Arabidopsis thaliana: one gene and its partners. The protein of the gene in region 3 interacts with the protein of the main gene of each other region in a pairwise test. Each region holds a gene or a part of one and is shown on either strand. Other genes may lie near its edges.

Evidence for each region.
Region 1: the proteins of PK1 (region 3) and TIF3H1 interact in binary tests that used the Arabidopsis thaliana proteins (3 or more experiments, as listed by UniProt).
Region 2: the proteins of PK1 (region 3) and TAP46 come close enough for resonance energy transfer, tested with the Arabidopsis thaliana proteins (one study listed by BioGRID).

What each region holds. Positions count from the first base shown.
Region 1 is NC_003070.9:3,607,097-3,612,628, reverse strand, and holds TIF3H1 (translation initiation factor 3 subunit H1), read left to right. Parts: upstream 1-2,012; 5' UTR 2,013-2,329; coding exon 2,330-2,339; exon of another isoform or gene 2,340-2,455; coding exon 2,456-2,535; intron 2,536-2,701; coding exon 2,702-2,818; intron 2,819-2,917; coding exon 2,918-3,021; intron 3,022-3,107; coding exon 3,108-3,174; intron 3,175-3,447; coding exon 3,448-3,581; intron 3,582-3,666; coding exon 3,667-3,715; intron 3,716-3,851; coding exon 3,852-3,923; intron 3,924-4,013; coding exon 4,014-4,115; intron 4,116-4,200; coding exon 4,201-4,268; intron 4,269-4,453; coding exon 4,454-4,606; intron 4,607-4,686; coding exon 4,687-4,744; 3' UTR 4,745-4,998; downstream 4,999-5,532. Other genes in the region: AT1G10850 (Leucine-rich repeat protein kinase family protein), read right to left, coding at 1-401; Z-ISO (15-cis-zeta-carotene isomerase), read left to right, coding at 5,180-5,532. UniProt on the Arabidopsis thaliana protein: Component of the eukaryotic translation initiation factor 3 (eIF-3) complex, which is involved in protein synthesis of a specialized repertoire of mRNAs and, together with other initiation factors, stimulates binding of mRNA and methionyl-tRNAi to the 40S ribosome.
Region 2 is NC_003076.8:21,484,783-21,489,988, forward strand, and holds TAP46 (2A phosphatase associated protein of 46 kD), read right to left. Parts: upstream 3,261-5,206; 5' UTR 3,088-3,260; coding exon 2,992-3,087; intron 2,849-2,991; coding exon 2,726-2,848; intron 2,435-2,725; coding exon 2,348-2,434; intron 2,229-2,347; coding exon 2,124-2,228; intron 2,018-2,123; coding exon 1,856-2,017; intron 1,773-1,855; coding exon 1,737-1,772; intron 1,653-1,736; coding exon 1,581-1,652; intron 1,489-1,580; coding exon 1,208-1,488; intron 1,128-1,207; coding exon 872-1,127; 3' UTR 535-871; downstream 1-534. Other genes in the region: AT5G52990 (SNARE-like superfamily protein), read left to right, coding at 1-224; AT5G53010 (calcium-transporting ATPase), read right to left, coding at 4,117-4,168, 4,256-4,332, 4,422-4,523, 4,602-4,730, 4,925-4,970, 5,175-5,206. UniProt on the Arabidopsis thaliana protein: Involved in the positive regulation of the TOR signaling pathway. Acts as a negative regulator of PP2A catalytic activity. Plays a positive role in the ABA-regulated inhibition of germination, probably throught its interaction with ABI5.
Region 3 is NC_003074.8:2,650,815-2,655,970, forward strand, and holds PK1 (protein-serine kinase 1), read right to left. Parts: upstream 3,399-5,156; 5' UTR 3,295-3,398; exon of another isoform or gene 2,778-3,294; 5' UTR 2,550-2,777; coding exon 1,944-2,549; intron 1,859-1,943; coding exon 1,776-1,858; intron 1,687-1,775; coding exon 1,392-1,686; intron 1,308-1,391; coding exon 1,203-1,307; intron 1,076-1,202; coding exon 767-1,075; 3' UTR 507-766; downstream 1-506. Other genes in the region: AT3G08740 (elongation factor P (EF-P) family protein), read right to left, coding at 3,974-4,092, 4,189-4,270, 4,364-4,465, 4,581-4,658, 4,748-4,854, 5,036-5,116. UniProt on the Arabidopsis thaliana protein: Downstream effector of TOR signaling pathway involved in osmotic stress response. Could be involved in the control of plant growth and development. Phosphorylates the ribosomal proteins P14, P16 and S6.

The sequences.
Region 1 (5,532 bases), on a different chromosome or scaffold from region 3:
AAGTCGCCGGAGAAGTTGTTATCGTTAAGATAAACCGATTTGAGGTTAACCAAACCGGAGAGGTTAGGGATTGAACCGGAGAGAGAGTTAGCTTTGAAACTAAGAACCCTAAGTTGATCCAACTGGTTCAAACTCTTCTCGTTAAGTGAGCCGGTGAGATTCAAGTACTCAAGAACAAGCTTGGAGACTCTTCCATTCATACATTCTCTAACACCTTGCCAGTTGCAGAGATCTGTTCCTCTCCAAGAAATCGAATTAGATGGATCGATTGAAGATTTCAAGCTTAGTAAAGCTTCGACGTCGCTAGATCTCGCCGGAGTAACCAAACAGAAGAAGACTGTAAATGCAAAGACTACGAACGACACCGTACTCGAAGACGAAGAAGAAGAAGAAGAAGCCATTGTCGATGAATGATGAATCAATCAAATCAGAAAGAGTGGCTCTTTTCCTCAGCTCATAAAAGAAACAGAAATGATTGATACAGTTCGAAATCGAGTTTCCATAAAAAGCATCCCATGAATCTCCTCAAAGCCATCACTTTCTATTATTAAGTCACTTTCCAGATCTGCCCCATTATGCTAAAGCATCTCGATCGAAGCAAAAAAGGGAAAGGTAAAAAATGAAGAAGAAGAAGAAGAAAGTGAGAGCTCTGCTCTACTCTGCTCTTTAATGGCGGAAAGAAATCTTCTGGTAGTGAGCACTAAGAAGAGAAGAAGAAGCATTAAAATTCCCCGGCATTTTCTCTCTCTCTCACTTCACTTTCTGAGTATCTTTTCTCGAAGTTCTTGGTCGAGGAAGATGTCATCACGTGAAGCCATGCCTGGAAAACTTTTTTTTTGTTCTCACTGTGACATCTTCAATGCATTCATGAATAATAGTAGTATTATAAAAAAAATTAATAATGGGTTTATGAAGGAGAGACGAAGGAGAAAGAGAAAAATAATTCACGTATATTTTTGTCGTTATTGTTATGGTTGCTATTACTTTGCCAAGATTCAGAGACAGATAGGTTTTGGGGCCAAGGTAGTTACTGCTGCTGAGAAAATTTATATAGAGATTTTATGGTGAAGTGTGGTATGGAGCAGAAGAAATATGGTGGGAATAATTAATTTTAGGGATGATTTATTTAAAGTAAGGAGAGACATTGTTTTTCAATTTTATTCAGTTGGTGTCTGGTTCCTCTTTGCACTCTCTACCAATTATTGAGCTGCTTTTTTTTCCTACCTCTTTTTCTTGTTGAATCTTCACATGGTTTTTATAATATTTTTAATCGTATTTTAATATGGACCTCATGTTATTTATACAATGAGGATATAGATTGTTGGATTTTTGTTTGAGAGGAAAGTTAAAGATGTGTTAACATTCATGGTTGGTATTCAATCTCTAAAACGAGGATGTTGAAGTGTTTATTAAATTAGGAATTTATTAGTTGCTTAGCTTAAGCGTGATGAAAATGTAATAAAGAAGAGGTGAGAATTGAGTTCACGTAAAGGCTGAGTTAATTATTAACCAGCGGTCCACCAGTCCAAACACCAACCTCGCAAAGAGACTGCAGTCATTTAATTTGGCATCAATATTATTGTTGACTTCTTTGACCTTCAATGAATCATCAAGGTTTTCGACTTTCGAGTAATAAACTATAGTACATTTAATACGTTTTATATATTTGGTTTTACGTTTTTTGATACCAGTGGTGATTCTCTAGTTTTTGCCGTTTATTTAGGACATTGTTGATTTTCTTACGGACTTATGAAATGACCATGTCTTATAGACTTTTTAAAGTTGGTTACTAAAGATTAGACTTTGAATTAGTCCTCTTTTTCGATTAAACCCTAATACCGGATGGAATTTGGAGGGAAAGTTTCTAAAAGTTTTGGATTCTAGTTGACTCCATGACTGTTTGTTTTTTCTTACTAAGTTTTGACTAGTTGGTTAGTGTAATGGGCCCATGCTATTAAATTAAATGTTCAATATTTTGAGGAATATTATGGTCCTGGCCTTTTACAAGAGAATAGCATTATAGGTCCATGGGCTGGGTCCATCCTTATTATAGGTCGGAAAACATTTAGGGATCATTCTATAAGAATCTCAAATTTTAGGGCTCTTTTGCAATTTTAACTGCGAAACGCTTTTTTTTTTTCCTCTCTACACCCAAATTGAAGGGAAAAAAAAATCTGCGGATCCTCGAGAAGCCCTATCAAACACATAAAGTTCTTTCTCTTACTCATCTCCGCCGCCGGCAGTAAAAATATCACATCGTTAGGGTTTCACGGCGGAGATTCAAGTTCTTTGACCTAGGAAGCTTTCACTATCACCGGAGACTATTTCAATGGCAACCAGTCAGTATAATCATCCTCTCTGTTCTTCACTAGGACATAGAATTAATATTTGCATCTGTTTATTGACGATTTCTGTATATGTCGTGCTAAGTTTCTTCCGTGGTTTATTTCTGCAGTGGCTAGGTCGTTTCTGCAGGCGATATCGAAGGATGAGGCGGTGGCTCCTCCGCTTAGAGTTGTTCAGATCGAAGGACTGGTAACGTTTCTTAGTGTTCCCTGATTTTACGGTTTTAAGTGTTTTTCCTCGTTTTCTGCTGACCGATGGTGTTTGATAAATAAAAACTCTCTAGGTGAAGCTAATTTGCCCATTATCATTTGGTAGGAAGTTGTGATGCTGAGAATTTTGTTTGCTATTGTGATAGGCTGTACTAAAGATAATCAAACACTGCAAGGAGTTTTCACCGACCCTTGTCACTGGACAGCTTCTTGGACTTGATGTTGGTAGCGTCCTCGAAGTTACCAATTGTTTTCCTTTCCCGGTATGTTGATGAATTTTACACGCATTGTGAGGATTTAAGAGCTTGTTCATGATTGATGTACATGTGATTTACTGGAATTTGTATCTTAAACGAGGACAGGTCAGGGATGATGATGAAGAAATTGAAGCTGATGGTGCTAATTATCAGCTTGAGATGATGAGATGTCTGAGGGAGGTTAATGTTGACAACAACACTGTTGGCTGGTAGGTTTTTTAATGACATCAGTCTGAGTTCACTTGTTAAATTTTTTCTTGTGAATGTATTTAGATCTGCCTAATTCTTTGTTCAGGTATCAATCTACAGTTCTTGGTTCGTATCAGACTGTGGAACTGATTGAGACCTTCATGAATTACCAGGTACTTTTTTTTTTGTTAAAGAATCCTGTCTACCATGTCATTATAACATTCTAGATTTGGTCTGTTCATATGTTATGCTCTTCATTCAGCTGGAAATTTATATGTATAGCATGGCTACTCTAGTGTATGATAGGTATATTGGCATGTGTAAAAGTTGAATGTAAATTGGATCATGAATATATTTTCTGAGACTTTTTTTGTCCGCAACTCTGTTACAATCCCTTGCAGAATCATGATATGAACTCTTAAGAAATGATTCTTCTGCATCTACAGGAGAATATCAAGAGGTGTGTGTGCATCATATATGATCCCTCTAAAGCTGATCTAGGCGTCTTAGCTTTGAAGGCTTTGAAGCTTTCAGATTCCTTTATGGAGTTGTACCGAGGTGGAAACTTTACTGGCGAGAAGTATGTATCTTGATCCATTGAAAATCTAGGTTTTATGAGCCACTTAGGATGATAGTTGTAACGTTTTAATCACTATCTTTTTCAGGTTGAGAGAGAAAAATTTCTCCTGGATGGATATTTTTGAGGAAATACCTGTAAGTCTCTAGCTTTCTTCTATATTGAATTCTTACCAGCTAATCTTTTCAAGTCACTAGGTTGGAATTGTTACCTAATTATATTTTCCTCTGACAAAAAAAGTGGTTTAAATGTTTGTTACTTTTCCTTTGACAGATCAAGGTTTCAAATTCTGCCCTTGTCAGTGCCTTTATGACCGAACTGGAGACTGATACACCTGTCTCACAGGTACAATACTACTATCTGGATAGTGATCCTTGCTTGCTGTCAGCATTGCAGATTTTGACTCTTGATACTTCTGTATTTTCGCCTTTCTAGGGCGATTATGATCGTCTACACTCATCAACCACTCCTTTCCTTGAGAACAATATGGAGTTTTTGATTAAATGCATGGATGATTTATCTATGGAACAGCAAAAGGTGTGGTTTCTTCTGCACTCTTGTTCAATTCTCATCATCAGAAGTCCGAACTATCTTAACGCAAAATCTTAATTTATTTCTCCAGTTCCAGTATTACTACCGGAACCTGTCTCGTCAGCAAGCACAACAGCAAGCCTGGCTCCAGAAGAGAAGGTAGGTTTATATTTTCTGCAGAACCTTTTTGTTCTAGTTCAGGTTTGATTAGTTTCACTACCTCGTTATCTTGGAAGGTGATACAACTTTACTTACGAGAGTTGTGAATGCCTTGTAACATTTGTCTTCAGCTTTTCCTTGTCCTTTTGATCTTCCAACTAATGAAAGAGGTGTTTGGTTTATAGAACGGAGAACATGGCTCGTAAATCAGCTGGAGAGGAGCCTTTACCAGAAGAGGATCCTTCAAACCCAATCTTTAAGGCGATCCCTGAACCATCTAGGCTAGAGAGTTTCCTCATCACAAACCAAGTCTCAAACTTCTGTGGCCAAATCAATGGGTATGTTCCTCTTTAGTATTGTTTCACCATTTTTGGAGCTTTGAAAGATACTTAAAATGAGTCGACCTGTTGTTATGCAGAGTGGCTGGCCAGAACTTCAGCAGGCTTTACCTGACCAAAGCATTGCACGACAACTGATTGCAAAGACTACCCAAGTTTTTGTTTTTTGAGTCAGAAAGTGAAAGACTTGGTGGTAGAATGGATCCTATATTTGTTTTTCGTGGATGTTTTTGTTTTTATTTTTGTTGTTGTGAAGTAATTTAATTTACAAGCTTTTCAAAAAAAATCTTTATTCTTATGCATAATGAAAAATTATTGAAGTTTTGAAAGATTTATCTTGTATTGGACCTCTGATTGCCTTACAACAAATTATACATAGTTATCAAAATCCTAATCAAAAGAGTAAAAAATCTAATTTATAGAGATTTTATTATAGTTGTAGTGTTAGTTCCATCGCTAAATCCCTTGAACGACAACGTTTATTATTTCTTCTTCGGACGATTGTTTGAAGAAATTTAAAAACGACATCTTTTTATTACTTCCTCTTCGAAAGATTGTTTACCAACAAGAACAATGGCGGTTTATCATCTCCTTCTCTCGAGCCCACCTTCGCTTCTTCTTCTCCCTCCTTCTCCTCGCCGCCCTAACCTCACCTTAATCCGCCGTATCCCAGCTCATCCTCGCCTCGGAAACTCGACCAGCTTGCTTTCTTCTTCGTCACCGGTAATTCGGAAAATTCTGGTTCGTAGCACTCTCCGGGAAGACCAACCCATCGCCTCTGACTCCGAGAGTAGTCCTACTCTACTGATCGGTGAAGATTCTGCTGCTTTTGAATTAGGGAAACAGAAGCTTGTTTCCTGGGTTTATTTCGGTGTTGTCCTTGGAGTTGTTCTCTTTATCCTCAATGTTGTTTGGATCGATAATTC
Region 2 (5,206 bases), on a different chromosome or scaffold from region 3:
AGATATCAGAGAAGAATGTTGATTTATGTGGGAATGGTAATAATGGAGTCTTACGCAAGGAACTGAGAAATGGTTTGTTGAGTGATCATCATCATAGACAAAAGGCGAAACAGATTTGGAAGAAACATGTTTGGGTTGTGTTGATGTTTGATTTCTGCATCTGTGCTGTTTTGTTTGGAATTTGGCTTTGGATTTGTGAAGGGTTTCAATGCATTCAAGGGTAAAAGTTATCATCATCTGTGTACATCTCCAAATTCATATTCTTTGAATCTGCATCAAAATTTGATCATTTGACATCTTTTTTCTGGGTATCCGTTTTTTTGGATCAAATCTGATCCCTTTTGTTATCTCTCTGTTCTTGTCAACTTTTTTCATCTTCTTTGATTTTTAAAGTCGCAAAAAGTGTTGTTTCCAGGAGGAAAACTAGGGTATAGATTGAATCCTGGTTTACATGTTAATGATGTTGTTAATTGTACTTTGGAAGTTAAATCATTCACAAGCAAAATGTGTGTTGTTATTATCTCTTTTTTTTTTCTCGCTTCTCTTTTGTTGTTTGATTCCATAAATGGTGCTGTGATTGAACGTGGGTTACACAATAATAGAGGACAACAAAAGATGGTCTCAGATCCAGTCACACGTTAGTATTTTACTAGATATATACATTGTATCTTTAGTAGTCGGCGTATTTAAAAATAATATTCCCAACGAAAATGAAAGTGAATCCGTGAATCCAAAATCTGTAAGTCTAAGGCTTAAGAGTAGAAAGATGATTACATTACAGACATTATAATAAGTGAACGAAGAGGTTTTGGAAATAAGAAACAAAAGAGAGGGAGAAAGTGTTAAATAATGTGTGTCTCGGTCTCTAGTCTCAGCCACAAGGTGTGAGTTTCTTGTTACCTGCACCGCGAGGATTATCATCCTTCCAATCATCGAAAGCTCTAGCTTTCATCACAGCTTCTTCGTCTTCATCATCATCTTCCTCGTCTTCTTCTTTTCTTCTTAGAGGTTTATCATTGTACCATGAGGTGGTTGCTTCTTCAATGGCTTTTTTCGTCTGCTCTTGCCAATCATTCATTATGTTCATCTCTGTTAACCCAGCATCCTCTATGCACATTGTTGGCATCCTACAAAACCCAAGTTTAATCACCATTTTTAAATCTCAAAAAGGATTAAGATTTTGTAATGAGCAATATTTTGTGTCTACCTGTGACTTGGTTGGAAGACCTGAGCTATCATTCTTTCTCTCTCGGTAGAGAGCGGTCCACCCACGATGCTTGCTGGACCGAATATAAGAGGTTGGTTCTTGTGTTCGTGACCTTGTGATACCGAAGCTCTTCCTTCTAACACATCTTGTGCAAATGTGGCACAAGTGATTGGTTGTGCCGGTTTAGAGTACTGTATCCTTGCAGCAGCGTCTCTGTGCCAGGTTTCAGCTTTCTTTGTACGATCATCAAGAGCATCCCGAGAAAATCCACCCTCTCCATCCTGATCAAAATATCATAACACGTTTTCTTCTTTTATATGTTTATCAAATAGTTTTGTTCGCACCTAAAAAAACTAACACCACGGTAAGCTACCTTCAACTGTCTTTCCTTTATTGCAGAGAGCATTTCCTCTTCTCTCTTTAGCATTTCCAACAGATCAATAGCCTGTAACGAAGTTCAATCATAAGATAATGCCTCCTCAACTTGTGACAAATCATAGGGTTCTAATGAAATGATTTTTAGACAAACCTTACAAATAGCCAAGTTAATTGAGGAGAGCCAGGCCTGCAGAGGAAAGCAATAAGACAAGAAAGCTTAGAAGAAAAAATCGAATTAGAGAAAGCAGCAAAACAAAAAGTGGGACAAACCTCTCTCTCTTCTTCGCTGTCATCATCTGGAATATCATCTTCTCCAGATTCAACCGGAGTCGACAAAGCTGATGCTTTAGTGGAACGTCCACGTCGCTCCTTCCTCTCTTTAATTTCAAGAAGCTTTGCCTCTGCAGCCTTTTGACGTTTGAACCGAGCTATCTACAAAGTACCATAATCATGAAGACACAACACGCATTTCAAAATCCGAAAACTTTAAACTTCATTCTCGTCAGAACATAAACAAAAGAAACAGGGCTGAATCTACCTTGAGAGCCCTTCGATCAGCAGGTGCACCAGAACCTCCTCGTGAAGAAGCCTCCAACTCCTCATCCGGAACAAGCTCCATTGCCTCACAGAACGAAAAGAACTCCTAGACACAATAACAAAACTATACATCAATCTCAAAAAAAATCCAACCAAATGCTCATTCCCACTTGCAATAGCATCAAAGGGATACAAAAACATGTAAACACTCAGCAGAAAACTAACCTTCAACTTAGCATACGAGGCTTTGACAATCTGAATCCGGTCCTCCTGTATGATTTTCTCTGTCAACTCCGCAAGATAATAAGGCACCTATAATCACAAGACAATATAATCCCTCGTCACTTTATAGAAATGTCAACTCGCAACACAATCTTATGATCTCAACACAATCTTATGGTCTCCACACAGAGTAAGTTCAATGGAAAACGTTACAATCCAAAATCTCAGACTCCATTTTGAATTTCAGTCAGTAGCTAAAACTAGAAGCATCAGGACAAGCTAAAGTTTTTCACTTTCAGATCTTTCCACACCAAAACTAATAACAAAACTAGAATACAAACAAATTACAAAAATCCAAACAACAGAGACTCAATTGCATACCAAAAGATATTTGAGATTGTTGGTGCTAATATCTTCTTTAGTCTCGTTAGACGAAAACAGCGCCAGCTTCCCGATCATATCTTCGCACTTCTGAAACATCTCACATCCTTTCTTCACAACATCCTAACAAACCAAAGGAAAAGAATGAACTAAGCATCCCCGGAAATGTCCAATTCAGTAAAAACTCGCGATTCGGATTCGAAATACCCATTTCAGATAAACACCCTAATCGAATCTGTATATAAAAAAGAGGTAGAAGCTTCCACCTGATCAACACCAGACTCTGAAGCAGCAAGATGAATTTTCCTAGCTTGCTCGAATAGCACCGATAAAGGCATTTCCTCCATAGCCAAACCACCCATCACAGGCAACAATTCAAAATTCCTTAATGAAATCGAATCCACAAGAATCGAGTTTCTTCGAGAAGAGGATCGTCTTTTGAATTTTTTTAGGGTTCCAAATCGAAATCTGACTAATTTACCACGAGTACACACAGACAGAGGAGAGAAAATGTTAACCGCGAAGAGCTTTATAAGGGACGGTTGAGATTTTGCCGCGTCAGGTGAAGTAGATAACTCGAATTCTATTAGCCGTTAGATCTGTCCACAACCTCAAAAGTCAAAAACCGACTCAGTTGTATAAAAATATCAAGTCAAAGATCAGGTGCGGCGGGTGTAGTGTAAAACCGCCACGAATGTGATTGTGGCTATGGTATATGAATGTTTACTGTTTTTTTTCTTAATTTGAATGGAGATGAAATTTTCTTGATTTTTGTACGAGTAGGAGTATGAATAAACTAGTATCGCACCCGCTGTCTAAGCAGCCCGAATTGTCGTAGTGTTATTGATTCGATCGACCTATAGCAGTAAGGAATGGTGGATACCGATAACTAAAGCCACCTCAATCGCGGTGAATCAGCTGGATCCAAAGATTTAGGAACATCCAACAAACAATTCATGAATCGAAAACGAAGAGGTGCATTGATTGAACAGAGCTTACTATATATACTATATATGACTGTCACCCATTACAGTCTACATAGCTTGAAAGGGAAATGGATACAGAACTTAAATGTTTGACTTTCACGCATTTCACTCGACATATCTTCAAGAGGAAAATGAATTGACTGAATAAACTGTAGTATGCTATATACACAGCACAATAATCCGCATTATTTAATCTCTCACGCACACCCGCGCAGAGAACAACAGCCTCCTAAGCGACCAAAGCTAGAGGGATGCTTCAAAAGTTGACCTGAGATGAGAACTGCAAGTTGAGAGAAACTACTTGCCAGATCTAAAATAAGATAGTCATATGCGATTCATTAGGAGACTTTGGGAGTGAATGGTTCTTACTTCTTACGAGAATTGAGCCATACGGCAAGAGAAATCTCAGTTACGATGATATTGGATGGCTGGGTAAGGGTAGCGAGTGGCGACTTGGCTGAAAAAAGGTTAAATTTACGTATTGAGAAAAAATGTGAAGAGTAAAAAATTAAAGAAAGTAGTTGAGGATGTTTATGAGCAGAACCTGAGTAACCCCAAAAGACTTGTCGTCACCCATTTTTTCAAGTCAATGAAAATGCCTGCGAACTTGATCACGATTATCTGATATGAAAGAACAGAAAGAGAGTATATATGGTTTAGGGATATATAAGAAAAGACAAATGTTGTGTTCACTTGTAAAGAGGACTTACCTGAGATATGATAGTTGAGGTTATTGTAACGAGAAACATATTCTCTCTAAGGACTTCTTTGAAGGTTTGGTCTACACTTTGGATTTCAAACTCATTAAAAACCTGCGTTATTTTAGAAAGATAGAGAGATGATCAACATATGAACTCTAATTAGAAGAGTGGGAAAAAATCAGATATTACCAGGTAGAAGACAAAGGAATTGAATATCAATGTGTTCATCATTTTTTCGGCATTGCCCGTCTGACCATGCTTCAGCTTCAGTAGCTTCTCAGAATTTATGAGTACCAGCGAGAGCACTAGGTAAAATACCTGGAGGAAGGTATTTCATGACACAAGCATTATTAGAGGTCTCCAAACCAGTGTGTTTGTCTCTAATCTAAATAATTAATTAGTTTAATATCACCAAGGAATTGTATTTGCTCCTTGGAAACTATGAAGGTGTGAAATACTTAATCTGACATTAACGTCCACACATGATCAATCGAGGATTTTACCCTACATACCTGAATTATCATCTTGGACCACATCGTCTTGGTTATAAGAGGATCTCTGAAAAACAAAAAATGTACACATGCATATGTACTATCAGTTTGTGTATATTCACCTAGAACAGATAGTGTGTTTTAACAAGAATTGCAAAACCAACAGTTTCTTCAAAACCTTCAGCATCAATACATTAATGTCTCTTTCTAAGCCAACTCTATATTGACTTAATAATCAAATCTTATCCTTGATCCTATTCAGAATTTGTACCTTATACCAACCGGTGGCTTTCCCATTAGGTG
Region 3 (5,156 bases):
CCTTAGAATTCCAAAATTTCACCAGGACACGAGGTCGAAAGAAACCCTCGAGGAAACGAACTCTAATATCTGTAATTAAGACCTAGTCTATATATTAGGGAAAAAGCTGGCGCATAACACAAGCAATTTTCAAACAAATCCAGATATAGAGTAAAACTATGACCTGGACCTAGAAGGTTTCGTGTCGTGTAAATAATTTATATCCAGAAAAAAAAAGAATCTAAACTCTGCGAGAGAAAAGTCAAAGAGAGACAGAGAGAGAGGAATTACCAGAGAATATGCTTGAGGAAGGAGACGAGAAGGAGACGAGACAACTTTAACAGGAAAGAGGGTAATGTGCCAAACCAAAAAAGGAAAAGGTTTTAAGAAGGCGCGTGGCTACATTTTTTATGTCTTCCGAAGCATCGTGGATCATGGGGTGAGGACACGTGTTCGTGTTCTATTGGGAAACCGAACTTCTTCTTTGTTTTAGTGGGCCGGAATTCTTTAAGCCCATTACATTACAAGACGTTCAGACGGACACTAGTTCGGTCCAAAGGCATCACCGTTATCATCTTTTATATTTACACGTTTTCAACGTTCTTTTATATTACATCGTGGGTCAAAAGGTCAAAGTGTTAGCTGCTCTACTTAATCTCAATCAATAACAATCTCATAAAATCAATTATAAATTAAGCGTCTTGGTAACCAAAGTTTTCTTTAATGTTCATGTGTCAGAAGGAAACAACAACCAAAGAAGTAGGAACTACATAAAAATATAGTAAATCTACAAAGTAGTTGTGGACTGGTGAAGGAATGAAGGAGGAGGCCTGACGTAAGTGAAATTGGTAAAAGGGTTGGCCTTAGGATCCGAACTGGGACTGCTCGCCGGAGAATCCAAAACAGACATGTCAGTCCAACACTTGTCAAAATTTGCTATGCATTGCCTTCCCGATACTTCCGGCTTGAAACTTGGCATCACTTCTCTAGCCTCCAGCTTCTTCCAGTTTATTCCCTTGAACCATTTGTGCTGTTTTATCTCCTCTGCTCCGCTCAGTCCACTTCCAAGTCGCCTTTCTGGCTCTTTTTGCAGCAGCTATACATTCATTACAAAGTCAAGAGTCAGAATTGTTCTAAATACAATGCTTCATAGTTCTTAACTGCACAAAGATTTTCATGTTTACTGTTGATTCTGTAATCAAACTGCACCAACATTTACTTACCCCTTTCAGTATTGCATGAGCTTCATTAGACAGAAACTGCGGAAGCTTGATCTTGTCCTTCACAATTTTCTGCTGTATCTTTCCTTTGCTCCCGAGAAACGGTGGCTGCAGAAGGAAAACAAGACATCACACAACAATATACCAAGACATGAGGCTTCAAGCAAATTAACAATAGATAGCGGCTTTTACCTTTCCTGTGAGCATCTCATACAGAAGAATCCCTACGCTCCACCAGTCAGCTGCTTTATCATGTCCTTTTCCTCGAACAATTTCAGGTGCCATATACTCCGTAGTTCCGCACATGGAGTTTGATCTTGTGTTTTCTTCAAATTCCTTTGCTAAACCAAAATCTGTTAGCATCACGTGGCCATCTGTATCCATGAGTATGTTTTCGGGTTTCAGATCTCTGTGCATTATGCCTTTCTCATGGAGATGGGAAACTGCAGAGACGATTTCTGCAGTGTACACTCGAGCCAAGTCCTCTCTGCGAAAGAGTAAAATATAGAACCAATTAAGCTTTACAAAATTCTAGCGAAACTTCAAAAATGGTTCGCAAAAAGGAATTAAACAAACCTGAAAAGCCCTTGGTGATAGAGTTGGAAGAAAAGATGACCTCCGTTTATAAAGTCGAGCACAAGATACAGCCTGTACTTGGTCTGCAAGGGAATGTATAACGCTCTAAGTTAAGAAATAGTAAAGTAAAATAAATAGGATGCTAACAGAGAGAAGTGTTATATATACCTGAAAAGAGTATTTAAGTTGAACAATGAATGGGTGATCAATTTTTGTAAGAATATCGCGCTCAGCTTTCATGTATTCAGCATGGTTCTTCTCCATAATGTGATCTTTCCTCATGACTTTCATAGCGTATATCTCAGAGGTCTCCTTTTTCCTCACCTGGTAGACTTTCCCAAACGCACCTTTCCCAACAACCTTCATAACCTCAAAATCATCTATGCCTACTACACCTGAGACTTTCACCAGATCTCCCTCTAAAGCTTTCTCATTGTCACTGTCGTCATTACCAGAGAAATCATCATTTTCTTTTAAAGATTCACCTTCGAGACACTCCACCAAGTCAATTGAGTCCTCAGTCTCTAGTAAGGTGAGCTTGGTCAGCTTCAAAGAATGACTATCGAGCGAACACGGGCCAACCAAGGAGTGGGATCGACTGTAGACAACAGCAGGCTCGTCGTAAGCAATATCATTGGCCTCTTCGGGGAGTGGACCAAACACATCAGAGAACTCAAGTTCAACATCATCTTTCAAGACAGAATTTGAAGGGCTGATGGATAGATATTGCTGTTTCTGGATTTTGTTGGGGACAGGACGCTGAGAGGAAACCATAATTTACACGGGAAAAATCGATACAGAATCACTGAGAAAGCTGCAAGAGTTCACCAGCCTGGAGAGAGATTCTGTACCGACAGAAGTTAATGAGGAGAAAACTGACTAAAACAAAGGCTGGCAAAAGGCAATCCAATAACAAGGAGAAGAAGCTCTTGTTGTTTCCCGATTTTAAGGAAACAGTGGATGCTGCAGAAGTGCGCAAATGCCATGAAGGTTTTATAAGCTCTGCAAGTACATGAAAAGTTCACACATTTAAAGGCTATCACATGAACAAATAAGATCTGAGATACAGGATTGACCAAATCTATGAAGAGACGGTGTAGAATTAATATAAGCAAGTCCAGTGATCCTTTTACTAATTGAGATTTTCAGAAAACTTCGAACCCACATAAAAAAAGGGAAAACTTTCACAGCGATGACAAATCTTGAATAAAACCCAAATCCCTAACAATTTCCGGATTCAGAATCGGACAAAGATTAAAAATTCCACAGGACATGAAGCCGAACGAGACACTCGAGGAAAAGGAACTGCAATTTCGATAATTCAGATCTATTGGTAAGTAAAATTTCACGTAAATCGAGATCTACAGAAAAACTATGACCTGAACTTAAACCGTTTCGTGTCTTAGAAACAATTCATGAATTTTGGATAAATTCTATGGATCTAGAATACGAAAAAAGGAATCTTAACTATGCGAGAGAGAATTCAAACAAACATAGATAGAGAGGGAGAATTGATTACCAGAGGGGATGGCTGAGGGAGGAGACGAAGATGGAAATGAGGACGAGAGGAGAATTTAAGAGCAGCATCGCAGATCCAGGGGTTCATACACGTGGCCGTATCTTATTGGGAGAACGTTGACCAGTTGTTAAATATGCGGCGGAGGTTTTTTTGTCCACTAATTCTTTATTTATTTTAGTGGGCCGCCTTTCACCAAGCCCATTCTTCCTGACTTTTTGTTGTTTTTTAGATCATATCTTTTTTTTCCGGATTATGTGGATTTGAAATCCACAATGAGGAAATTTTACCAGCCATTAGATTCACAAAATACATCAATTTGTGAGAGACTGAGAGAGTATTTTGCGTATCCAGAGATTTTAGAAGCCATTAATCTCTTATTCCATTGAATCTCTCTAGCTCGATGTTCCTCATTCATTCTTAACCTTTCTATCATAAAAAATTTCATGCTTTTAAACAGTTACGAAAAGCATTAGGATTGACCAAATTATGTTAGTTCTTGTATGAATTTGCTGATTTTAATCAAACTTAAATATATATAAATTTATTTAATCGAAAAATTGTCTCTCGATGTTCAGAAAAACAAACATGTGTCCCCGGATTCGAACATTCTCATATACAAAAAAGATGTATCATTGCCTTGTTGTTAACGACCCAATTAACTAGGTGTAGTAGACCCGGATCACGCTCGGTTCATGTATGCACCAGTTCTTGTGTCCACAAATATCTCTTCACCGACGTTAATAAAGAGTGGTACAGCAACTATTGCACCCGTTTCCATTGTCGCCGGTTTTGATCCACCTACGAAATTCATCACCCCACTTGGTCAGTTTAAGCTTGTTTAAACCAAAACATGAGAAGAGATCTCTCAACAATAGATTGGTGCAACATTGTTACCTTGCACAGTATCACCGCGAAGGCCAGGATCAACGTCAACCACTTTTAGCTTAACTGTAATCGGTAGATCGAAATCGATAACCTTGCAAAGATCCAGAGAGAAACAAAGTTGGCATCACCGCTTAATTACGTGAACTATTAACTATTTTTACAGAGAAGCTGAAAGTGAGTGTACCTTGTCTTTCCAATAGAGCAAAATGCAATCCATTCCTTCTTTCAACCATTTCGTCTTCTCACCCATATCAGATTCGTTAAGACGTGTTTCTTCGTATGTGGTCTATATAAAAAAAAAGATTTGATAACCAAGAGAAAACGTAATCATTAGTACACAAACTTTAAGCTACTACTACCATACTAGCGAAGAAGAGAAGTAAGGATCCAATGTGACATACCAAATCCATGAAAACAAACTGAGACCCATCTTTGTATGTGAATTGTTTGGTTTCTTTATATATATTAGCTTCCTCAACCTGTAACATAGAATGGTCATAATCAAAATGGTGCAACTAAAAAATCATTCATCAGATTAAGATATAAGAGAAAAAGAGATGATTTTTACAGAAATTCCAGCACGAAATGTTCTCTCGACTGTGCTACCATTCACATAGTTCCTGATCTTAGTTCTCACAAATGCCGCACCTTTTCCTGGTTTAACATGAAGAAACTCTGCTCCAACAAAGCAAGAAAAAACCCTCAGTAGACTAGTAAGTAGCTAAGTGGAAGCATTATAACCAAAACAATGCTTAAATCGTCATGAACTAGTAATAGTATCTACAAATTCAGAAACCTTCCAAGTTCCAAGTATAGATAATAACATAAACTAAGAGGAATTGAGGAAGAAGAATACCAAGAACACGCCAAGGAGCACCATCGACTTCGATATTGGTTCCCGCTTTGATGTCGTTAGCAGACATAGAGCAGTGAATCCCTGCAAAAATCAAACGTGTCTGAATATAAATTTCAAAATC